Sus scrofa: one gene and its partners. Each later gene encodes a partner of the first gene's protein in a complex. Links are inferred from orthologs where the notes say so. Each region holds a gene or a part of one and is shown in the gene's direction. Other genes may lie near its edges.

Region 1 (4,466 bases):
CCGCAGAGACAATGTCAGATCCTTAACCCGCTGCACCACAGCGGGAACTCCTATCCACCAGTTCTTTTTTTTTTTTTTTTTGGCTGAGTCCATGGCATGTGGAAGTTTCTGGGCCAGCAGTTGAACCTACAGCACAGCAATGACCTGAGCCACAGCAGTGACAACACGAGATCCTTAACCCACTGAGCCATCAGGAAACTCCACCTGTTCTTAAATCTTTATGGTTCAAACTGTCCTAGCACTGAGATGGGACCGGAGGGCAGAGAGGCTGCCAGAGAGCCTTTCCCACCCTCCCCAACTGTTCTCAGAGTTCAGAAAACCACCAGGATGGTAGAGCGGTGTTGTGGGAGCTTGAGACTCCACGTGAGGACCACTTGCAGAAACTTAGAATGTTCAGCTTAGACGGGAAAACTCAGATGCTCTGGGTCCCTGTAAATGTGTGAAGGGCTGTTCCATGGGAAAGGGTCCATAGAGTGGCAGAGATTGCAGGGACTCTCGGAGTGGCCCAGCCCCAACCCTTGTGCCTCAGGCCCACGTCTGGAGTGGCTTGGTCTGTGAATAAGGAGTTCTCAGTGCTACCCTTGGCCAGGGTGGGGTTGGATGAGCATGTGTTGTGGGGGAGAAGCGATTCACAGATGGGGTGGGGTTGGGGTCAGGCCAGCAAAAGCACTATGTGCCTTTTTAGCTCTTAGGAGCCTGGGGATTTCTGGTCCTGGAGGATCCTGGTGGAGCAGGGGGACAGACATGATTTGGTCCTTCATATCCCTTGTAGAAACCTCTGAGAAGCCATGGAGGGCCCGCCGTGGCGAGAGTGTTCGGGGTGTGGGCTTTTCCCATCAAGCCAGGCTGCTTTGTGAAATGGCTGAGGACTTGACTGTCACTGTCGGGGTTAGACACGATGGTTGAGGTTGGGGGTGAGCTCCTGTGGCCTTGGCAGGAAATCCAAAGACTAGAGGCAAGGAGAAGGATGGTAGCCCATGCAGAGCTAAGTTACACAGAGACCAAGAAGCCTGCAGAGCCCTCTAAGGCTGGGGTGGGAGGGCTTACCTGGCCCCCCTCTCTCCAGAAAGAGGCAGCAGGGCCCACAGGGATGCACAGTAGCTGCCCCACAGGATCCTGGGAACTTGTGGGCTGCTCAGATCGTGGTGGCTCAGGTCTAAGTGTTCCTTCCCAGCCAGCCTGGGAGCCTAGCCTTATTCAAAGAGGCTTTGCCTTACTGTTTTTTCTCCTTTAAATTTCTAGATGCCTTTGGGAATTTCCGTTGTGGTGCAGTGGAAATGAATCTGACTAGTATCCATGAGGTTGCGGGTTTGATCCCTGGCCTCGCTCAGTGGGTCAGGGATATGGCGTTACTGTGAGCTATGGTGTAGGTCACAGATACAGCTCAGATCCTGCTTTTCTGTGGCTGTGGTGTAGGCCAGCAGCTGTAGCTCCAATTGGACCCCTAGCCTGGGAACTTCCACATCCCGTGGTTGTGGCCCTAAAAAACAAAAAGCAAATAAACCATAAAGACAGATAACTTTCTGTCTGCTGACTTTAAGAGACTCTTGAGTCTAATCCAGACCAGATGTCTGACTTGTCCTGGCCTTGGCTTCCAGCCTCCAGATCTTGGCGGCTGCTGTCTGCCCAGGCTGGGACACGGAGAAGACCACGGGGGCCTGGGCTTCTCTAACTTTCTGTTGGTCTGGCTTAAGTGGGATAATTGGCTTCTGCTTGGAGCCCCCTCCTCCCACATTTGCCCTGGCCCTTTGCTTCCATCTGTTCCTCTCGTCTGGGGACCCCAGTGTCACACCCGCGTTGCCCAGCGCCCCTCGCTCACTGCTGCCCCCGTTTCTTCCCCAGCGTGGTGATGGTGGATGAGGCCCATGAACGGACTCTGCACACAGACATTCTTTTTGGATTGATCAAGGATGTCGCTCGATTCCGACCTGAGCTCAAGGTCCTGGTGGCTTCAGCCACACTGGACACTGCCCGCTTTTCTACCTTTTTTGATGATGCCCCCGTCTTCCGAATCCCTGGACGCAGGTTTCCAGTTGACATCTTCTATACCAAGGTGCCCCTCGGGGAGAATGCGTCTACGCTTCAAGGCGGGTGGGGGGGTGGGGGGTGGGATGGGAACCCCAAGGGGACCTGGGATAAAGTGTTTCTTGAGCTGGGAGGAGGGGAAGAGCTTTGTCTCAGCAGGTGGCCTTCCTGTGACCCCGCCTCCTCCTCCCCAGGCCCCAGAGGCAGACTACCTGGAGGCCTGCGTGGTGTCGGTGCTACAGATCCATGTGACCCAGCCCCCTGGGGATATCCTGGTGTTCCTGACAGGACAGGTGTGTGACGTGGGGGAGGGGCTCGCTGTGTGTACCCACAGGGAGACCAGGCTGGCTGGTCGGCCTCCCGTGACTCTGGGACCCCTTGTATTCCCCACCCCAAATCCAGGAGGAGATCGAGGCTGCCTGCGAGATGCTCCAGGATCGCTGCCGCCGCCTGGGCTCCAAAATCCGGGAGCTCCTGGTGCTGCCCATTTATGCCAACCTGCCTTCCGACATGCAGGCTCGGATCTTCCAGCCCACGCCCCCCGGGGCCCGAAAGGTCAGTTGGAGAAAGCCGTGTTCTTCACCCCTCTGCCTCACGCAACTAGTAGTGGAAAGGGAAGTAGGTGCCTGCCCCGTGCAAGGCGTGTCCTGGGCTCTGCTGCCGCTGCGAGGCCCGGTGGCAGGCAGTCCTCTGCCGCAGGAGCTGGAGGGGGACTATGACTGAAACCGGGAGATGGCCGAATGCACGATCCGGAAAGCGAGCGTGGTGGGGTGCAGCGGAGCAAGGAGGCCCCTGGTGTGCGGGGAGCTGGGATTCCATCTGGACCTTTCGGGAAAGTGGCGAGGAACATCAGAGGAGGACCTCAGGTGTGTGTGAGGTCGGAGTGGTCTGGCAGGCTCATGGGAGGTTGACACGGGAAGCAGTGGGAGACAGGCTAAAAACAGCTCTGGACAGAGGGTAGAGAGGGCCTTTGATGGACTTTATACCAGTGAGTGGCCATCAGAGGATTTTGAGAAAAAAATGTAACTTTCATTCAACAAATATTTAAAGAATTTCTCCCACGTTCCAGGTGCTGTTCTAGGGGATGAGGAAACAGTGATGGACAAAGCAGAGTCGCTAGCCTCAGAGGGTTTAATCTAATGCAAGTTAGGAGACATGGACACTTAAATACCTAATGTCAATTTGTGACAAATGCTCTGGAGAGATTCACTGTGTCATGGGAAGCTGGAGGCTGGCTCTGGGGCAGTGGGGGAGGAATGGCAGGACGGTAATGCCCTTAGGGTGTAGGTCAGGCCTCTCCCTCTGATAAGGTGAGAGTTGAAGCCGGGCCTGAACCAGGTGAAGGGAGGGAGCCAGGCTGATATCTGGGAGAAGAGCGAGCCCAGCAGAGGGAAGAGAGCTTGTTCGGAGGACTGCGCTCAGCAGTGGGTGAGGTGGGGGGGAGCATGGAGCCCTGGTGCCAGAAGCTGAGATTGGAAGAGTAGCCAGGGCCTGGAAGGTTCCAGGCCTGAAGGGGCTTAGATGTGATTCTCAGGTGGGGAGGGAAGCCCCTGAAGGATGTGGGGATCGGCACAATAGGCTCATGTTTTGAAAGGACTGTTCCGGATGCCATGTAACCAGGGCTAGGAATAGAAGCAGAGACTCATGGGAGGCTGTTTTGGGAAGTAACGTGTGAAGGTGAAAATGAATGTGACAGTGGGGAAGGTGCAGCAGGACCCTGACACCCCCAGCCCCACCTCTGAAAAAACCCCGAACTCCCTTCCTGTCTTTTTGGAAACTTTTTTTTTTTTTTTTTTTTTTTGTCTTTTTAGAGCCGCACCTGCAGCATATGGAAATTCCCAGGCTGGGGGGTCTAATCAGAGCTGTAGCCGCCAGCTTATGCCAGAGCCACAGCAACGCGGGATCCGAGCTGCTTCTGCTTCTGCCAGAGCTCACAGCAACACCGGCTCCTTAACCCACTGAGCAAGGCCAGGGATTGAACCCGCAACCTCATGGTTCCTAGTTGGATTCGTTAACCACTGAGCCACGATGGGAACTCCATCTTTTTGGAAACTTTGCATGTTACACCCTGCTGATCCCCACATCTCCCTCACCCTCTGCTGGCCTTGTCCCCCTCTCCTCACTTTCGCCCAAAGCCCCTCAGCTCCTGCCCCTTATCTCTACGTGCTTCTCTGCTCTGCATCTTGGAGAATTACTTTTTCTGGGTAACTAGGCGGGTGGGGCTCCTGAATGACCCCACATCCTCTTGCTCAGGTGGTCGTGGCAACGAACATTGCGGAGACCTCGCTCACCATTGAGGGCATCATTTACGTGCTGGATCCAGGGTTCTGTAAGCAGAAGAGCTACAACCCCCGCACGGGCATGGAATCGCTCACCGTCACACCCTGCAGTAAGGTGGGCCTGGGCTTGAGCCCACGGAACAGCCCAGCTCAAAGCGGTGG
Region 2 (5,217 bases), on another chromosome or scaffold:
AGCCTTTCCATAAACGTGGGGACTGCCTTCAATTTCCTTAGCATTACCCATAGAACCTGGAAATGAGCTCTGCATACAATGAGTGGTAAATGAATGTTATTGGTGGAGAAAGGAATAGAAGCTGGGAGAGCTGAAATCTGTCCCAGTTTGCCTGGGACATCTCCATGGATAAACTTCCAATGGGTAAGAATTGCTAGGAACTCTGATGACCGAGGCCTAGGTATTGCTCCAATTCTCTCATTTCACAATAGCCTGAAGAATCCATCCAGATAATGCTGCATGCTAGTTTACCACTTTGCAGTGACTACTTCAACCCTACAACTAAGCAACCTAAGGTTTCTAGGAGCAGATAAAACCTGTATGCAATCTGTCACTGTTTAGTTTTCATTGCCAAGGTAATTCTACAAAGTTAATGAATAGCTGGGTTGGAAGTGGGGGAGGGGGACAGACACAAAAACTGTCATTGGTGGGCAGCCTGTTCTGCTTCTTGGGAAGACATTGGGTACATGGTGAACCATTGAGGGTACAGTTGTCACTGTCACCATCATCAAAGTGCTTTTAATTTCTGGGGCTGTGAGCTAGGCCTACACAGAGAACTATACAGCCCCATAATTTGACTTTGACATAATTTGCATGGTCTAAGGCCAGAATTGATGTGGACACATGCAAGATGGATTTGAATCTTCAGAATGGCTTAATTCACACATTACATGCCATCATCTCTTCTACAGGTTCCTGATTATTTCTGGAGTCAAATCTATCAAGCCCTGTCTCCTCAATGATATTATTAGCTCTTTGAAGGCAGAGAACCCAACCTTACATTCCCATCTGCAGACTTACTGTATAGGACAAATACAGATGCTCAGTAAGGACCGATAAATCAAGTGGATCTGATGGATAGAGACAGAGTACCATCCAAGTTATTTAACTCCTTTAAACTCAGTTTCTGCTACGAAACGGGGAGGATAATTGTATCTAAGCCTTCACAGGAGGGCCAATACATGTAAATTGCTTAGCACACAATCTATCATTACCTGCTCAACTGTTAGTTATTAATTTAACAATACCAATTCCTACCTCCTGCTTGAGTAGCAGACAGACTATGGAAAACGGTTAGCAGCATTCACACAAATCTGGGTATTCAATTCAGCCTATGGAGGCACAGTGGTCAGTTGCCTATGCGGTGCGATTTGAGACAAAAAGATTTACCCTCTCACACAGCTTTTTCACATTTCTGCTGTAACTCCTGAACAGGGATGCTTTCATGGCGGTGTGCGTGTGAGTAATTGGCTGGGAGTTAAGGACAGAATGAGGATTTGCACTGGAAGAGAAGGATGGGACTCAAGTCGCCGTTATCAGGCACCTCTCAAAGTCTTCCTTCAAAAAACATTTATAGTTAACCCAATAAATGCCAGGCATCGTTTAGGAGTTCGGAGTCCTGTAACAAACCAGGCTCGCACCCTCGTCCAACTCCAAGCACGGTGGAAGCGAGGGTCTACAGAAAAAGAGCGACATCGGCGGAACAAGAGAAGCCGCTTACTGACGTAGTGCGCAGGCGCCACGCCCCAGCGCGGCCCGGCTCTTCCGGCGCGGCGTAAGCGCGCAGCTGAGACCAATGGGCGCGCAGCGCCGGGTCGCGCATGCGTCTTGCAGCCTCTCCCGGAAGTCGCTTCCTAGGTGCTGAGGGCGAACCCGCGGAGATGAAGTAAGGCCTCAGGTTCCTTTTGGGAAAAGGGGACAGGCGGCCGGGGGTAGTTCACTGAAGCTGGAGTGGTAGAGCACTTGTGAGGCTGAGGAGCGGGGGAGGCGCAGATACTAGAAAATTAGTCTCCCAGTTTTGCTCTCCTTTACCTCAGGCTAGGCCGCGCTTACTTGTCCGCTTTTCCGCCCCTTGTGCAGCCCTTTAACTAAAGTGAAGCTGATCAACGAGCTGAATGAGCGTGAGGTCCAGCTGGGGGTGGCGGAGAAGGTGTCTTGGCACTCCGAGTACAAGGACAGCGCCTGGATCTTCCTAGGTGAGGCCCACATCTTTCTCCCGCAGGGCTTCTCATTCTCTCCTGGCCTGCCTCCTAACATTTCAGCATTCCCGCCCATCATTCCTCCCGACATTCATCACCCACTTTTATTTACTTCCACTGTCGGCCTATAAATCCGTTTTCCAGGTCGCTTTTCTAGCTCATTTCTAGTTTGCTCTCGCTGCCAAATCAGCGTTCATGATAGGTACTGCCTGCCATTCAGTGTGCTAAGAATCGTGCCGTTTGGTTTCTCAGAGACTGTTATTATCATCCTCTTGTCCTCTAGTTATACACCTAAGGAAACTGAGATGCAGAAAAGTTAATGGACTTCCTTCAGGTCGCATAGCTAGCAAGTGGAACAGCAAGAACTGTGGGGTTTGAGAACTCCTGGTATCAGCCACTATCCGGTATTACTGCCAACTCCCTCTCCCTTCATTACCCTTCACGCAGAATTTATTTCCCCGTCCATGGCCACATCATCATTTCCATATTCACTGTGTCACATTCTGTAATTTGACAGTTTATTCGAAGAGATTATTACAACAGACATTGTGCTAGGCACTTTATAGCCATTGTTTTATTTTCATTCTTATTACAATTCTGTGAGGTAAGTGCCAATATCCCCATTTTACAGATGAAGAAGGAAACATTCGTAGGGGAATTTATTTCCTATGAAATCCTTAACAATTGTGAGGTGGGGTTAATATTTTTTTTTTCCCACTGTACAGCAAGGGGATCAGGTTATCCTTACATGTATACATTACAATTACATTTTTCCCCCACCCTTTCTTCTTTTGCAACATGAGTATCTAGACAAAGTTCTCAATGCTATTCAGCAGGATCTCCTTGTAAATCTATTCTAAGTTGTGTCTGATCAGCCCAAGCTCCCGATCCCTCCCACTCCCTCCCCCTCCCATCAGGCAGTCACAAGTCTCTTCTCCAAGTCCATGGTTTTCTTTTCTGAGGAGATGTTCATTTGTGCTGGATATTAGATTCCAGTTATGAGTGATATCATATGGTATTTGTCTTTGTCTTTCTGGCTCATTTCACTCAGTATGAGATTCTCTAGTTCCATCCATGTTGCTGCAAATGGCGTTATGTCGTTCTTTTTTATGGCTGAGTAGTATTCCATTGTATTCCATAGTATTCCACATCTTCCAAATCCAATCATCTGTCGATGGACATTTGGGTTGTTTCCATGTCCTGGCTATTGTGAATAGTGCTGCAATGAACATGTGGGTGCACGTGTCTCTTTTAAGTAGAGTTTTGTCCGGATAGATGCCCAAGAGTGGGATTGCGGGGTCATATGGAAGGTCTGTGTATAGATTTCTAAGGTATCTCCAAACTGTTCTCCATAGTGGCTGTACCAGTTTACATTCCCACCAACAGTGCAGGAGGGTTCCCTTTTCTCCACAGCCCCTCCAGCACTTGTTCTTTGTGGATTTATTAATGATGGCCATTCTGACTGGTGTGAGGTGATATCTCATGGTAGTTTTGATTTGCATTTCTCTTATAATCAGCGATGTTGAGCATTTTTTCATGTGTTTGTTGGCCATCTGGATATCTTTGGAGAAATGTCTATTCAGGTCTTTTGCCCATTTTTCCATTGCTTGATTGGCTTTTTTGCTGTTGGGTTGTATAAGTTGTTTATATATTCTAGAGATTAAGCCCTTGTCGGTTGCATCATTTGAAACTATTTTCTCCCATTCTGAAAGTTGTCTTTTTGTTTTCTTTTGGGTTTCCTTTGCTGTGCAAAAGCTTTTCAGTTTGATTAGTTCCCATTGGTAAATTTTTGCTCTTATTTCTATTGCTTTGGGAGACTGACCTGAGAAAATATTCATGATGTTGATGTCAGAGAGTGTTTTGCCTATGTTTTCTTCTAGGAGTTTGATGGTGTCCTGTCTTACATTTAAGTCTTTCAGCCATTTGGAGTTTATTTTTGTGCATGGTGTGAGGGTGTGTTCTAGTTTCATTGCTTTGCATGCAGCTGTCCAGGTTTCCCAGCAATGCTTGCTGAATAGACTTTCTTTTCCCCATTTTATGTTCTTGCCTCCCTTGTCAAAGATTAATTGACCATAGGTGTCAGGGTTTATTTCCGGGTTCTCTATTCTGTTCCATTGGTCTGTCTGTCTGTTTTGATACCAGTAGCACACTGTTTTGATGACTGTGGCTTTGTAGTATTTCTTGAAGTCTGGGAGAGTTATGCCTCCTGCTTGGTTTTTGTTTCTCCAGGATTGCTTTGGCGATTCTGGGTCTTTTGTTGTTCCATATAAATGTTTGGATTGTTTGTTCTAGTTCTGTGAACAATGTCATGGGTAATTTGATAGGGATTGCATTGAATGTGTAGATTGCTTTGGGTAGTCTGGCCATTTTTACAATATTGATTTTCCCAATCCAGGAACATGGAATATCTTTCCATTTCTTTACATCTTCTTTGATTTCTTTGATTAAAGTTTTATAGTTCTCGGCATATAGGTCCTTTACCTCCTTGGTCAGGTGTATTCTGAGGTATTTGATTTTGTGAGGTACAATTTTAAAAGGTATCGTATTTTTGTATTCCTTTTCTAAAATTTCATTGCTGGTATACAGAAATGCAACTGACTTCTGAATGTTAATCTTATCTCCTGCTACTTTGCTGAATTGATTAATCAGTTCAAGTAGTTTTGGGGTTGAGTCCTTAGGGTTTTCTAGGTATAGTATCATGTCATCTGCATACAGTGACAGTTTGATCTCTTCTCTTCCTATATGGATGCCTTTTATTTCTTTTGTTTGTCTAATTGCTGTGGCTAGGACTTCCAAAACTATGTTGAAGAGCAGTGGTGAGAGTGGGCATCCCTGTCTTGTTCCAGATTTGAGTGAGAAGGCTTTCAATTTTTCCCCATTGAGTATTATATTTGCTGTGGGTTTATCATAAATGGCTTTGATTATATTCAGGAATGTTCCCTCTATACAGGTGGGGTTAATATTTGCGTATTTAAACTGATTTTGGATCTTAGGTGTAAATTGTAGCTAAAGAGCAGATGAGTTCAGTATATGTTTGTGCTGGAAAGTCTTCTTTGTCCATAAGATTGTGGGTGTGGGGAGAATTAGTTTGGTTAGGGGTGACCCTCAACCTTTCCACTCAAAGTTAATCACTTTTTTTTCTGTACAGTTGCTACATCTCATATGTGCTTCTGTCATTGCATCAGACCATGAGTTCTTT
Region 3 (4,960 bases), on another chromosome or scaffold:
TAAGGATCCGGCGTTGCTATGAGCTGTGGTGTAGGTTGAAGACAGGGCTCTGGCGTTGGCCGGCGGCAGCTGTAGCTCTGATTGGACCCCTAGCCTGGGAACCTCCATATGCCAAGGGTGCAGCCCTAAAAAGACAAAAGGTAAAAAAGAAAGAAAGAAAGAAAGAAAGAGAGAGAGAGAGAGAGAGAGAGAGAGAGAAAGAAAGAAAGAAAGAGAGAGAGAGAGAAAGAAAGAAAGAAAGAAAGAAAGAAAGAAAGAAAGAAAGAAAGAAAGAAAGAAAGAAAGAAAGAAAAGAAAGAAAGACAGACATTTGAAACTTGGAGCAGCAGATTAAGGATCTGGTGTAGTCACTGTAGCAGGTCACTGCTGTGGTGGGAATTCAATCCCTGGCCCAGGAACTTCCACTTGCAGTAAGAGCCGGCCAAAAAAAAGAAGGAAAAAAATTGGTTTTTAATGCAGATTTTTATGCAAGAGAGTGACACTACCTGACTCACTATTTTAAAAGATCACTCTCACTGCTAGATGCAAAACTGACTATAAGACAAAGGAGACAGTTACACTCCAGGCGGAAAATGATGGTGGCTTGGACTAGGGTAGTAGCAGTGGGAATGAAATTTAGGGTATATTTTGAAAGTAGAATTGGTAAGACTTGCAAATAAGTTGGATGAGACAAGTGAAGGAAAAGGAATCTAAGAGGAAACCCTGGGATTTGGGTTCAAGTAACTAGTATGATGGTAGGTAGTGTCCTTTACTGAGATGTCTAAGACTGGGGGAGTAATACCTTCCTAGAAAAATCAAGACTTGCATCTTGAAATTTACAGGGAAGGGAGTTTTTCTACCCTTTTGTTTTGTTCATTTTAGAGTTCAAAGAAAGAATTCTGAGGGGGGGAAAAAGCTTTTTTATGTTCAATTTTAATGAGCTCTTTACATTTGAAACTAAGCTAAGGGAGTTGGATTTTCATTTGTTTAAGTATCTATTGAGCCAAAGACTATGTGATTAGATATCACGATAACCACGTTAAACTGACCAAACAAGATCCCTGCTCCCACAGTGCTTTTGGAGGTGTAAGAAGGACAATTGGTGATTTTTTTCCCTTTCCTGTTCGTTGCCTTATTAAAACTTCACCTAACGCATGAGTAGCCATCTTATAATTGCATCTAGGGCTCCTGGCAGTTGGGCCCACCGTTCTAAACGTTCAATGTCGGTTAATGAATGAATCTCTAATAGTGACATCTCCCCTCCCGCTAGAACTTAGGCTTTAAAAAAAATTACAATTTTAACAGTCAATACGAATACAACCTTTGCTTTGAAGACTAACATTTTTTGCAGGAATGGTACCTTTATAAAGATCGTGGTTGCCCCCGTACATATTTGTTCTTTCTTCATATCCAATTAAAAGAAAATACTAGTCTTTCCGTAGCCCAACTCTCTAGGCTTGCTGGGTCTAGCTCAAAGATTAAGCAAGCAGGAGCCGTTGGATTTAAACCGTTTGGTATAATCCTTTTCTACGCTCTCTCTCCTTCTCTCTCGGTAGCCGGGGACGTGGTGTCGGCTACCCGGGGCTTTCCGTCCACGCAGTACCGGAATGAAGGCGTCTGGGAGGGGGTCGGGAAAGGAAAAGACGGGAGAGACATTAAGTAATTGGTTCTCGAAGGTATAAAATGATGTTTAGGGTCTACTCAAAGCACCGATTTCAAACGCCCGCCCCCTGGGCTGTTTAAGCCCCGCCTCTTGCTGTCGTCACGCCGACTTCTCCCTTGGCCTCTGCCGATTGGTCCCTGCCTCCGCCCCTGAAGAGGTTAGGGTTTGCTTCCGGGTCTTGGGCTTTGGCCCTGGGCGCAGGGGTTTCTGGGAGCCGAGAATCTAAGTGGTTTCTGAATGATCTCCGGAGGCTGGTGCGTTCGGACCTCGGCCAACGTGAGCTGCTGGGGGAAAGCAGACTGGGGGGGGGGGGGGGGAGGACAGTTGGGGGCGGACGCGGAGAACCGACTGCAGGCAGAGGAGTTTTCCGGAGCGGCAGCGGGTTGCGGAGCCCAGCGCCTGTTGGACTGGGGACGGCCAGTCCCGGGCCGGCCGCGGAGAGCGTAGCGTGAAGGTAGCTCTACAGGCTGCGTTAAGCGGGTCTGGGCGCCCCCAGCCCCTCGCCAAATCTGGCACGGGTGAAGAATCGCCGGGCTTTCCGATGACAACCCGAAGGTGAACTCCCCAGAACCCAGAGTGTAAATAACGATGGTGTGTGGGAGGCGGCGGCGCCCCCAGCGGCCCGGAACCCAGTTTCACCCCCACTGGATATATTCCTCTCCCTTTTTTGAAAATCTAGAGAAGTATGCCAGCTGCCCCAGACACTTGCTTTTCCGACGCTTGAGGGAGGTTTTAGTAGCCACATCGGCTGTGCAGTGTTTTTTAGTTGCTTAAAAGCAGAAGTAACATAAGGAAGGAGTCCCTGATTTGTAGTTACCAGAGTCCCGTGGGGGTGGGTTCCTGTGTTTTGAGCATCCCTTAAATTGTAACTTGCAAAAGTTATGATTTATATTATATTGGCTGCTGTAGGATAAAATTGAAACAACAAAAGATTGTTGGGGAGCTTTGCCAATGTAACTGTCGTCGAAGTTGAGCACACTTCTTCAGGACCTTCAGTATCTGTCAATGATTTGTTTTTTTAGATATCTTCTCTGTTTTTGTAGCTGCTAGCCTCTTTTCTGCAGTGTGAGGTTTAGATAAAATGGGAACCTTAAGGAGTCTGGTGGAGTAAGGTTGAGTTGAGATTTTTTTAAAAACTGAGACACGGCAGTACTGTATTTTTGCAAGGGCTTTGACATGTCAAGTCTCTTAATTTCATGATAATCCCATGAGGAATAGTCCCCATTTTACAGATGACGGAAACTTAAGCTAGTTGGCTTGTCCAAGGCCACAGAGCCAGAAGGAGAACAGGAACACAGTCTCAGATCTTCATGACAGAACTTTTTGTACTAAATATCTGCATATTCCCGCTACACCCTGAGCTTCACTGTTTGTTTTCATGAGAACTTTTGAGATCATTTTAAATAAGTTTTGGGGAATAAGTTAGGGAAATTTTTTCCCAAGGATGGATATTGATTAATACTTTATAAAATGATAGTTTGTTATGTTGAAAGTAACTTGGCACTTTTTCTTCAAAGCATAAAAAATGACGACGGCAGCTAGGCCAACTTTTGAACCTGCAAGAGGTGGGAGAGGAAAAGGAGAAGGTGATTTGAGCCAACTCTCCAAGCAATATTCAAGTAGAGACCTACCCTCTCATACGAAGATAAAATATAGGTAATGAAGCCTTTTATTTTTTTTTTTGTTTCACAAAGGAAGACCAAATCTGTTAAATGGTATGGTCATAAGATAATAGTGTTTACGTTATTATCACTTAGTAATCTATTTTCATAGGAGTAGAATGCATTAGTGTTTATAACACTAAAATCATGCGCTATGATTGTAAAATGCTACAAGATATTCCTTAAGCAGAAATTGCAATTAACTGGGAATTTCCATAAGTAGATGGAGCAATAGCTGATACATTATCTCAGAGGGACGTGCACTATCAGCACTAATCAATATGAGATTAAGAGTATTATTGTAACAGAGCCCTGAGTTGACATAGTTACAAAAAGTAAGGACATTTTAATCAACCTGCACCCTTATTATGGGAAAGTATGTGATTTAGCTTGAGGTTCTTGAAATATCAGAGACATCACAGGAGCCTCTTAGTAACCCTCAGATTAGGATAGTGATCTTGTCCAGTTTCCCTAATGGGACTTTATGTTTCAGGAACTCAGGACAAAGTTGCTTTTCACAAGCTGTCTTCTATGACTACAGCCGTGTGTTTTTAAGAAGTATTTTTGCCCTGGTTTGTTTCTGCTTTAGACAGACCACTCAGGATGCCCCCGAAGAGGTTCGGAACCGCGACTTCAGGAGAGAGTTGGAAGAGAGAGAGAGAGCTGCTGCAAGAGAAAAAAATAGAGATAGGCCGACCCGAGGTACCAACACTCCCTAGACCCCTAGACTACCCTACACCCTGGACACGTCTCTCATGACATTGTGTTGACAGTAATTTTTCTTTCACGTGGTAATTAGAATGGATTACTGTTTTTGTTTGCTTGCTTTTAAATATTGGTGTGAACTTTAAGTTTCTTAAAAGACTGGATCAGATTAGGTTAGGATAGATTAGATTGGATTAGATTAGATTAGATTAGAGATGGTAATGAATTTGATTCCAGTTCCATCTTTTTATGTTTCTATATGGAAAGAACTAGGTGATCTGGGAATATTTAGCAACCATTGTTTCAGTTCGGATTAAGGTATTTTCACAGCCAGACTTTTTGAGGCCCCATTGTTTCTGTCTATGAAATTCTCCATGGAGTTAACTATTGTGGCTCGGCTGGTTCAAAACCCAGTGTCATGAGGATGCTGGTTCATCCCTAGCCTTGCTGAGTAGGTTAAGGATCCTGTGTAGGTCGCAGATGTGGCTCAGATCCCCTGTGTGGCTCAGATTCCCATTGCTGTGGCTGTGGTGTAGGCCAGCAGCTGTAGTTCCAATTCGATCGCTGGCCCTGGAACTTGCATATGCCAGAGGCATGGCCCTAAAAAAGGAAAAGAAAAGAAAAATTCTCCCATTTTTATTTCTAGCAAATGCAAACTATTTTCTGAATTTCCTGAGCAAGGCTACAGTTCCCATATTAAAATCAATACTTCTATTAATTTATTCAACACATATTTGCCAAGGGCTTATTTGCCAGGCACTGTGGTTATAATCCTTACTTTCATGCCTAAGACTTAAGCTCTTTGTGCCCACAGGCCCCTAAAATATCATAAGAAATGCAGGATTTGATTCAGTAAGCTAAATGATGTTTGTTTTCCCGTAGAACATACAACCTCCTCCTCGGTGTCAAAGAAGCCTCGGTTAGACCAGATTCCTGCCGCCAACCTCGACGC
Region 4 (4,466 bases), on another chromosome or scaffold:
TGTCTATTTAGGTCTTTTGCCCATTTTTCAATTGGGTTCATGTTTATTTTGTTGTTGTTGTTGAGTTGCAAGGAGATATTTTATAATAAGGGAAGAAAAAAATTTTGGTTTAGAAGCCTATTTAACATTCTGGGGGAAAAATCTTGTGACTAGTTATATTAACTCTGATAACTTCAGTTACACCTAGTTTCAGACATTGATTAATTCTTTTAATTTTTTTCCAGCATATTATGACAATACCATATTTCATAGAGTTGTACCTGGTTTTATAGTCCAAGGGGGAGATCCTACTGGCACAGGGACTGGTGGAGAGTCTATTTATGGGGCTCCATTCAAGGTGAGAGTGAATTTTTATTATTATTTATTTTTAAGTCAGCCTGGGTTGCTTAATTGAAAATGATTATGCCACACAAGAAGAAAATGCATTTCATGTTCGTGCACAAAATCAATTTTATCACATATTTAAGATTATATAGTATAAGAGGGGGACTTACCCCATCAAGCATTCTTTCTAAGTTTTCTTATCACAACCTTTTACCCTAGATTAAATTCAGGTGGAGTTAAAGGTGGTAGCGAATAAAATATGTCAGACAAAAGACCATATAACATATTTCCTGATATTTGACTGTATCTGATCTCTGTAGCTCTGTATATATATATTTTTTAGAACATTGCACATGCCATCCTTTTTTTATTTTTATTTTTTTGGTTCTTAAGGCCACACCTGCAGCATATGGAGGTTCCCAGGCTAGAGGTCACATTGGAGCTGTGGCCGCAGGCCTACGCTATTGCCATAGCAATTCCAGATCCAAGCTGCACCTGCAACCTACACCACAGCTCACAGCAACACTGGATCCTTAACCTACTGAGCGAGGTCAGGGATTGAACCCTCATCCTCATGGATACTAGTTGGATTCATTTCCACTGTACCATGATGGGAACTGCCATGCCATACTATTTTAAAACATTTTATTTAACACCATATTATCTGCTTGAAATGCTATAACAGAGTACCTCTGACTGGGTGGCTTAACCAATAGGAATTTATTTCTCACAGTTCTGGAGGCTTGGGAGGTCCAAGATCAAGGTGCTGGCATTCAGTTCCTGTGAAGATTCTCTTCTTGGCTTGCAAATGGCTGCCTTGCTGTGTCTCAAACGGTGAAGGGAGAGATTTCTGCTGACTCTTCCTCTTCCTATAAGGGCAGCAGCCCTAATGGATTAGGACTTCACCCTTAGGAAGTCACTTAACCTTTTTCATCTCCTTACAGGCTCTATCGCCAGTTCAGTCATATTGGGAGTTAGAGCTTCAACATAGGAATTTTGTGGGGGACACAATTTAGACCATAGCTGAATTCATTCTAAATTGTACATGGTACATCTTTGTAGCACAACATTTCTTTCATAGCAAGAGATCACAAGGAAAACAGAAGGAAGAAACAACATAGAAAATATTAGAAAAGAGTGTGAGAGATAATCAAGAATAGGCCAGTGCTTTGTTAACTGCCAACATAGATCTAGAAAGAAAAAGAATTAATGTCATAGTTAAGATATTAAGATTAAGAGTGAGTTCAAGTAAAAGCTAAAGCTAGGTTATTTTTTAATCTGATGGCAGTGGTATTATCTGAATGAATAAACATCAGTACCTCATAAAATATGTGAAATTTTGAAAACTTCACATTGATACTAATGGGATAGAGTATCTGGAGTTTCCTTTAATTTTATACTGGGTTGCTTTATGACTCTTGAAAACTACTTGAACTGTTTGCTTTAATTTTCATATGATAGTGGCATGAAAAATATAGGAAATGCTTTTTTAAAAAAAGTCCTAAATGTTACTGTTAGAGTATTCTGTATTTTACAAAATTGAGATTTCTCATTATAGAGCCTCCATACAGTAGGAAACATTCTTTTATTTTGTTGTTTGGTGTGACAGAATAGCTCTTTGTGACAGTTCCTTTCTAAATTGATATTTTTTTGCTTGTTATGATTAGGTAATAAAGTTATCTTTGTAAATTTTTCAATAAGTTTATTTTTTTTGGTCTTTTGAGGGCCACGCCATGACATATGGAAGTTCCCAGGCTGGGGGTTGAATTGGAGCTGCAGCTGCTAGCCTAAGCCATAGCAATGCGGGATCTGAGCTGTGTCTCTGGTCTACACCACAGCTCAAGGCATCTCCGGATCCCACCGAGCAGGGCCAGGGGTTGAACCCACATCCTCATGAATACTAATTGGATTCGTTACTGCTTAGCCACAACGGGAACTCCCCAATAAGTTCCTTTTTAATAGAATGTACAAGAGTTAAGACCCTTTGAATTCAGATCTCTTGAGAAGAATTTATGAAGGAAAAGAACTTCTCTTCTGAAAAACATTGATTACATAACATGGCTGTATTAGACATGAGTCTAGTATGAGATCTTGATAGAAATGTTATTAACTAAGAGACTAATATGTAGCATTATAGCAAGAAAACCACCTTAGAATGACTTGCTTCTGCTGTTTTGTAAACTGACAAATGGAAACCTGTGCCAATTCAAAGATTCAACTTAGAATTTTCAAACACAGTAAAATGCGTAACACAACCATGCTGGATTCCTTGAGTGAGAAAAGTAAGAAAACAATTGTTTCATGACATTTAGATCAAGGTTAGGAAGGGAATAGTTGAAGACTCTGCAGTGACTCAAAACTAGTTATTCTGGAGAGAAATAGAAGGTTCTGAAAGCTTAGATGACTTTGAGGGATGGCAGAATAGGGGAGTGAGTCTTAGTAATCCATTCCCTTTCAGTAAAGAGGAAGCTTTCTTCAAAATAGGCTAAATTTGTGGCTGAGTATATTTAGAAGATACTTACAAGCTAGTGAAGTCAAGTTTGATAGAACTGAAGGAACTGTAGATATTAGATTTTGTTATATATGAAAATCAGTTAACTTAAACATTTGTGATTAAAAGTTGTATGGGACTTTGCTTGTTAGCTGAATATGAAGGGTCTTATAACCAAGATCATTCACTAAATCTTTTTTTGTTCTTTTTTTTTTTTTTAAATGCTTCAGGATGAATTCCACTCACGGTTGCGTTTTAATCGGAGAGGACTGGTTGCCATGGCAAATGCTGGTCCTCATGATAACGGCAGCCAGTTTTTCTTTACATTGGGTCGAGCAGATGAACTTAACAATAAGCATACCATCTTTGGAAAGGTTTGTGTCCAGTTATCTCAGGCTTCTATGATATATATGATCAACTTATCTAAAGTTGCCTTCATAAATATATTCCCTGAGATATTTATTTATTATTTCTAAAAATGATGGAATGCTATGTATTTCTGTTGTGTGTTTTAAGTCATTCGTTTTAACTTTGAATTTTTCTTTTTTTCTAAAATCATATTAATGGTATTATGAGCTCCTATGTCACTCATCTGATACTATTTTTACATTTTTAGAAACACACCTAGGTAATAACATTTAGTAGTTAAAGTTTTATTTTGTTAATGATGGATTCCCAGTGGAGGTTATGTTAACTTTAAAAGTTTTTACCTGGACTATTACTTTGAATAGTACCCTATTTAGTCCTTTTCACATTTAACATCATATCAGAGAATGTCATTTCCATAGAATTTTCAGTAGCTTTCTTTAAGAGGGATTCTGAAGATTTTATTTTCCTCCTTCTTCATAAATATATTCCCACATGTTTAAGTCGCAGGCATGCAGACATCATTAGTGTATTGGCTCCCTCTACTGGTTCAATAAAAATGGTTTCACTTTGTCCTAGGCAGCTGGATTTTATGATGGAAAAGGGAAAAAAACAAACTTAGCACAACTGGAAAAACTGATATTATTTTAGAACTTTTGAGAAATGTTAAAGGAGTCATGCCACAAACATTTAATACAATCCTGTTGCATAATACTTAACAACATGAATAAAGAAATATATACTAGCACGTGTAAGTGACTCCAACACAGGTTGTCTGATGTTCACAGATTTTCCTTTTATTTAAAAAAATAAATATATAATAAAATGAGATTAGATTGCATTCTGCACCATTGTTTACAGCTGATGTTACATAATTCACACATTAGAGACAAAGTATAGCATGGTGGTTAGAAGTCAGAAAGGCCGTCACTGTAAACTCTATAACTTCTTTGAACCTCAAGTTTCTTAGCTGGAGAAGGAAGATAATGATAGTACCTACTTTTAGAATGTTCATGAGGGTTAAATGAGATATAATTTCTGCAAAGCATTTACCACATTGTTATTGTTACTTGCTTCTACCCTATTTTAGAGTCTAAATTTGTTTATATAATGTTTGAACAAAAAGTAGTCATTCGCAAGAAGGTTATTTGGCATTATATTTTTAATAAAAGCTAACATTAAGTAAATGTTGGAAATTGCCCAAAAATCTTATTGAGGGATTAAAATTCATCAATGCCCTTTTCCCCTTAAGATAATGTTGTTTTATTTATAGTTTAATGCATAT
Region 5 (4,466 bases), on another chromosome or scaffold:
AATATCCATTCTATCAGTTATTAGTAGTATGATTTTTGCAAATTACTCCATCTTTCTAAGTATCAACTTCATCTATAAAATTGGGATAACAATATTTATCTCCTAGGCTTATTATGAGAAGTAAATGGGATAACCTATATAAAACATGGGTGTGCAGTAGGTGATCAGTAAATGCTGATCCTTCTTTTTTGGGAGGCTATACCTGCAGCATGCAAAGGTTTCCTGGTCAGGGATTAGACCCGAGCCACAGCAGTGACAGTGCTGGATCCTTACCCTACTGAGCCACCGGGAGACTCCCTGATCCTTCTTACTTTCTGGTGTTCTCCCGCTTCTAATAAGGAGCACAATGGCATGGATTCAGTAGGTAACAGCATTTCACTTTGATGTGTCACAGATTTAGTCAATTTGCCTCTTGAAAGAAGAGTGGGTACACACTATGAATTATCTAGGCTAAATATCAATAAGAGCCTCTAGTGGGGAGCTCTGTACAAATCAGTTTTGTGGAAGAGCATTGGATTAAGAGTTAGAGGACTGGAGTTCAAGCCTATCTTTTCTCTTCGTAGCTGTGACCCCAGGTAAGAAATCACTTAGCCCCTTAGAGTCTCTGTTTTCAGGTCTGTTAAGCAAGGATAATTGCCTTGCTTACCTAACAAAATATAACATGAAAAATATTTAAAATGCTTTACAGACTGATGACTTGTTAGGCAAATATGAGAGATTATTCTTAGGATATTCATGAGTGCTGTCTTACTGCCCCAAGTAAGAGTTGTACAGACCTTTTGGGCTTTCTGAGTAGTTTTCAGATGTATCCTCCTGGGGCATCTTTTGAAACTATGGTTCCTGGGGGTGAACAGAGCATCTGTGGGATTCTGACTCTTTGCTCTTTGTGTTTAGGCCACAATGAAGATCTGCCCTCACACAGACATTTCCGTCGTGACACCCCAGATGCATCACCTCCTAGGAGGGCTCGTCATGACACCCCAGATTCATCACCTCCGGGGAAGGTCCGCCATGACACTCCAGATTCATCGCCTCCTAGAAGGGCTCGTCATGATTCCCCAGATCCATCACCTCCTAGGAAGGTCCACCATGACACACCAGATCCATCACCTCCTAGGAGAGCCCGTCATGACACACCAGATCCGTCACCTCCTAGGAGAGCCCGTCATGATACACCAGATCCATCACCTCCTAGGAGAGCCCGTCATGACACACCAGATCCATCACCTCCTAGGAGAGCCCGTCATGATACACCAGATCCATCACCTCCTAGGAGAGCCCGTCATGATACACCAGATCCATCACCTCCTAGGAGAGCCCACCGCAGTTCCTCAGATATCTCTCCTCCCAGAAGGGCCCGTAATCGCTCCCCTGACACAGTTCAACCTAGAAGGACTCTTGATTCCATGGACACATCGCAGCTGAGGAGGGCCCGTCATGATTCCCCTGACTTGGCTTCTAGTGTCCCTCATTCACTGCCCAGAACCAAAAGCAGTACAGCCCCAGAAAGAGCGTCTAGCCAAGCTTCTCCCCATTGGAAGGGGCCAGGACCATCTCATCCATCACTCCCAAAGAACAGCAAGCAGGAGTGTGATTCAGACCTCTCTCCTCCACGAAAAAAGCAAGCAAAATCCCATTCTGGAAATAAGCAACATGACTCTAAAGGTGAGCATTTGACTGTCCATAGGAAGGACTTAACTCCCTAGGCACTTTCTTTTGGGCCTTTTAGTTCCTTTTTAGGTATTTGTGATCTTTAGAAATGAGAATGGAGCATTGGAGAAGTTTTAAAAACTGGAGGGAGGAGTTCCTGTCGTGGCACAGTGGTTAACGAATCCAACTAGGAACCATGAGGTTGCGGGTTCGATCCCCGCCCTTGCTCAGTGGGTTAACGATCCAGCATTGCCGTGAGCTGTGGTGTAGGCCACAGACATGGCTCGGATCCCGAGTTGCTGTGGCTGTAGTATAGGCCAGCGGCTATAGCTCCAATTAGACCCCTAGTCTGGGAACCTCCATGTGCTGCGGAAGTGGCCCTAGAAAAGGCCAAGAGACAAAACAAACAAACAAAAAAAACCGAACAAAACTGGAGGGAAATCATGAGAGGTTGGGCTGAGGAGAGTTAAAAATTTATAGTAGCAGAGAGGAGGGTTTTATATATTCTTTTGTTTATTCTCCCCACCCCATATAAGAATACTGCATATTCATTGCAGAATGTATAGAAATGTATAAAGAAGTAGAAAAAGGTCATACAAAATTCTGTCATTCAGAGGCAGTCACTGCTAGTGTTGTAATCTGTGTTCTTTTAGTTTTTTTTGTTTTTTTTCTATTCATTTTTTATGTGGTCGAGGTCTGTCTAGGCAGTAAATACATATTGCATGTGTAATCTTGTCTGTTTTTTTTTTTTCCCTTAACATTATCTTCCTCATGTCATAAAATATCTCATTAATATAATTTTTGTTGGTATTCTGTTACATAAATTTACCATTTCCTTAATACTGCATATTTGAGGTTGTTTCTGCACCTTTTCTTCTATAATTCTATAATCAACATCCTTATGCATAAACTATTGCCCTGTTCTGGATTATTTCCTTAATAATACTTCTAGATTGATCTCCTGGAAATCAAAGTACTTCCAAATATGTTTCCTTAGAAATTAAGTAGAAATTGATTTACTGGGTCAGAGGGTCAGGGTCCTATGCTTTTAGGACTGTTGACACCTGTTGCAGATTGCTTTTTGGGGGAGGTGATTTGTAGTTTTTTGCTTTTGTTTTCTTTTCTTTCTTTTTTTTTTTTTTTTTTTTTTTTGTCTTTTTGCCATTTCTTGAGCCACTCCCGCAGCATATGGAGGTTCCCAGGCTAGGGGTCAAATCGGAGCTGTAGCCACTGGCCTATGCCAGAGCCACAACAATGCGGGATCCGAGCTGCGTCTGTGACCCACACCACAGCTCACGGCAACGCAGGATCCTTAACCCACTGAGCAAGGCCAGGGATCGAACCCGCAACCTCATGGTTCCTAGTTGGATTCATTAACCCCTGCGCCATGACGGGAACTCCTTGCTTTTGTTTTTTTAATGGCTGCACCCAAGACATGTGGAAGTTCCCAGGCCAGGGATTGAATCCAAGCCACAGCTGTGAACTACTCTGCAGCTGTGGCATGGCAACACTGAATCCTTTAACCCACTGTGTCAGGCCAGGGATTGAACTCGTGCCTCCACAGCAACCTGAGCTGTTGCAGTGGGATTCTTAACCTACTGCACCACTGCAGGAACTCTTTGGGGGTGATTTGTGATGTCTACAACTCAGGCCTGTGCAGTGAGATTTGTTTACTCTTTTGTCCCAAGGCACTGTTTTAATTTTATTTTTTTTGCTTTTTAGGGTCACATGTGTGGCATATGGAAGTTCCCAGGCAAGGGGTCGAATCGGAGCTGCAGCTACCAGCCTATGCCAGAGCCACAGCAACACCAGATCTAAGTCACATCTGCAACCTATACCACAGCTTACAGCAATGTCGGATCCTTAACCTACTGTGCGAGGCCAGGGATCAAACCCATGTCCTTATGGATACTAGTTGGGTTCATTACCACTGAGCCACAGTGGGAACTCCCCTGTTTTAATTTTTAAATTCAGATACATTGTTATCCTTTAGTCTGAGGACATCAGAATATATTCTAGGCCATTTTAACTTTTACCATGCTGCTGAGACCTGAGTGCAGTTTGTTTTGCTCACTCTGTGTGGATAAATATGGCACAGAGGAGTATGTTGAGATATTACATGCCAGTCACAGTCATTATAACTTGAGACTAGAATCCCACATCCTGCCTGTTGGTTTTAAAAGTTGTCTCTGATTTCGATTTTCTCTCCCATGTCATTTGTACTTGTATTTAGGTTAGTGATCGTTTGTCACAGGAGGACTAAATGAATGCTGAACATTAGCCTGACTTAAAGCCTATATTCTTTAATTTTTAGGCTCTTCCCCCAGACATAGGAAATGTCATACAGGCTCATCACCCAGGAAGCATCACAGTCACATGTTGGACTCTTCTTCCTACCCAAGTGACCATAGGAGAGCCTCTGATTCAGATCTTTCTCCTCCTCGACATAAACAAAGTTCAGGGCCCCGGGATTCGGATTCCGATCTGTCACCCCCACGGAATAGACCTCGGCACCAGAGCTCTGATTCTGACCTCTCCCCACCAAGGAGGAAACAGCGGGCCCGATCTTCTGATTCTGATCTGTCTCCACCTCGAAGGAGTCAGCCTCTGGGAAAGAAGGTAGGAATTTTCAGGAGCCGTATCTTAGGTAACTCCTGTCTTCCACCTTTGCAAGTCCTAGAGATCTCAAGCCAGAGGAGGACGAGGTAGCTCTCCAAAGCATAGTAAATCAGTTCACAGGACCCCTAGAGCTCTTTCTTCTCTCTGAAGGCAGGACTGCCTTTAAACCAGCCCAGATGAACCTGCAAATACAGGTT

Evidence for each region.
Region 2: DHX16 (region 1) and RBMX2 share a complex: the UniProt entries of both Homo sapiens proteins name them as parts of the minor spliceosome. The link is inferred for Sus scrofa from reciprocal best matches to the Homo sapiens genes DHX16 and RBMX2.
Region 3: DHX16 (region 1) and CWC15 share a complex: the UniProt entries of both Homo sapiens proteins name them as parts of the minor spliceosome. The link is inferred for Sus scrofa from reciprocal best matches to the Homo sapiens genes DHX16 and CWC15.
Region 4: DHX16 (region 1) and CWC27 share a complex: the UniProt entries of both Homo sapiens proteins name them as parts of the minor spliceosome. The link is inferred for Sus scrofa from reciprocal best matches to the Homo sapiens genes DHX16 and CWC27.
Region 5: DHX16 (region 1) and BUD13 share a complex: the UniProt entries of both Homo sapiens proteins name them as parts of the minor spliceosome. The link is inferred for Sus scrofa from reciprocal best matches to the Homo sapiens genes DHX16 and BUD13.

Annotation. Positions count from the first base shown.
Region 1 is NC_010449.5:23,193,798-23,198,263, reverse strand, and holds part of DHX16 (putative pre-mRNA-splicing factor ATP-dependent RNA helicase DHX16), read left to right. Parts: intron 1-1,842; coding exon 1,843-2,053; intron 2,054-2,219; coding exon 2,220-2,318; intron 2,319-2,427; coding exon 2,428-2,580; intron 2,581-4,278; coding exon 4,279-4,419; intron 4,420-4,466. UniProt on the Homo sapiens protein: Required for pre-mRNA splicing as a component of the spliceosome. Contributes to pre-mRNA splicing after spliceosome formation and prior to the first transesterification reaction.
Region 2 is NC_010461.5:106,879,247-106,884,463, forward strand, and holds the start of RBMX2 (RNA binding motif protein, X-linked 2), read left to right. Parts: upstream 1-1,665; 5' UTR 1,666-1,700; coding exon 1,701-1,705; intron 1,706-1,899; coding exon 1,900-2,015; intron 2,016-5,217. UniProt on the Homo sapiens protein: Involved in pre-mRNA splicing as component of the activated spliceosome. As a component of the minor spliceosome, involved in the splicing of U12-type introns in pre-mRNAs.
Region 3 is NC_010451.4:27,044,095-27,049,054, reverse strand, and holds the start of CWC15 (spliceosome-associated protein CWC15 homolog), read left to right. Parts: upstream 1-1,774; 5' UTR 1,775-1,918; intron 1,919-1,949; exon of another isoform or gene 1,950-2,197; intron 2,198-3,159; 5' UTR 3,160-3,167; coding exon 3,168-3,298; intron 3,299-3,892; coding exon 3,893-4,005; intron 4,006-4,890; coding exon 4,891-4,960. UniProt on the Homo sapiens protein: Involved in pre-mRNA splicing as component of the spliceosome. Component of the PRP19-CDC5L complex that forms an integral part of the spliceosome and is required for activating pre-mRNA splicing.
Region 4 is NC_010458.4:43,363,201-43,367,666, forward strand, and holds part of CWC27 (peptidyl-prolyl cis-trans isomerase CWC27 homolog), read left to right. Parts: intron 1-224; coding exon 225-337; intron 338-3,045; coding exon 3,046-3,189; intron 3,190-4,466. UniProt on the Homo sapiens protein: As part of the spliceosome, plays a role in pre-mRNA splicing. Probable inactive PPIase with no peptidyl-prolyl cis-trans isomerase activity. As a component of the minor spliceosome, involved in the splicing of U12-type introns in pre-mRNAs.
Region 5 is NC_010451.4:44,147,870-44,152,335, reverse strand, and holds part of BUD13 (BUD13 homolog), read left to right. Parts: intron 1-894; coding exon 895-1,665; intron 1,666-3,964; coding exon 3,965-4,269; intron 4,270-4,466. UniProt on the Homo sapiens protein: Involved in pre-mRNA splicing as component of the activated spliceosome. As a component of the minor spliceosome, involved in the splicing of U12-type introns in pre-mRNAs.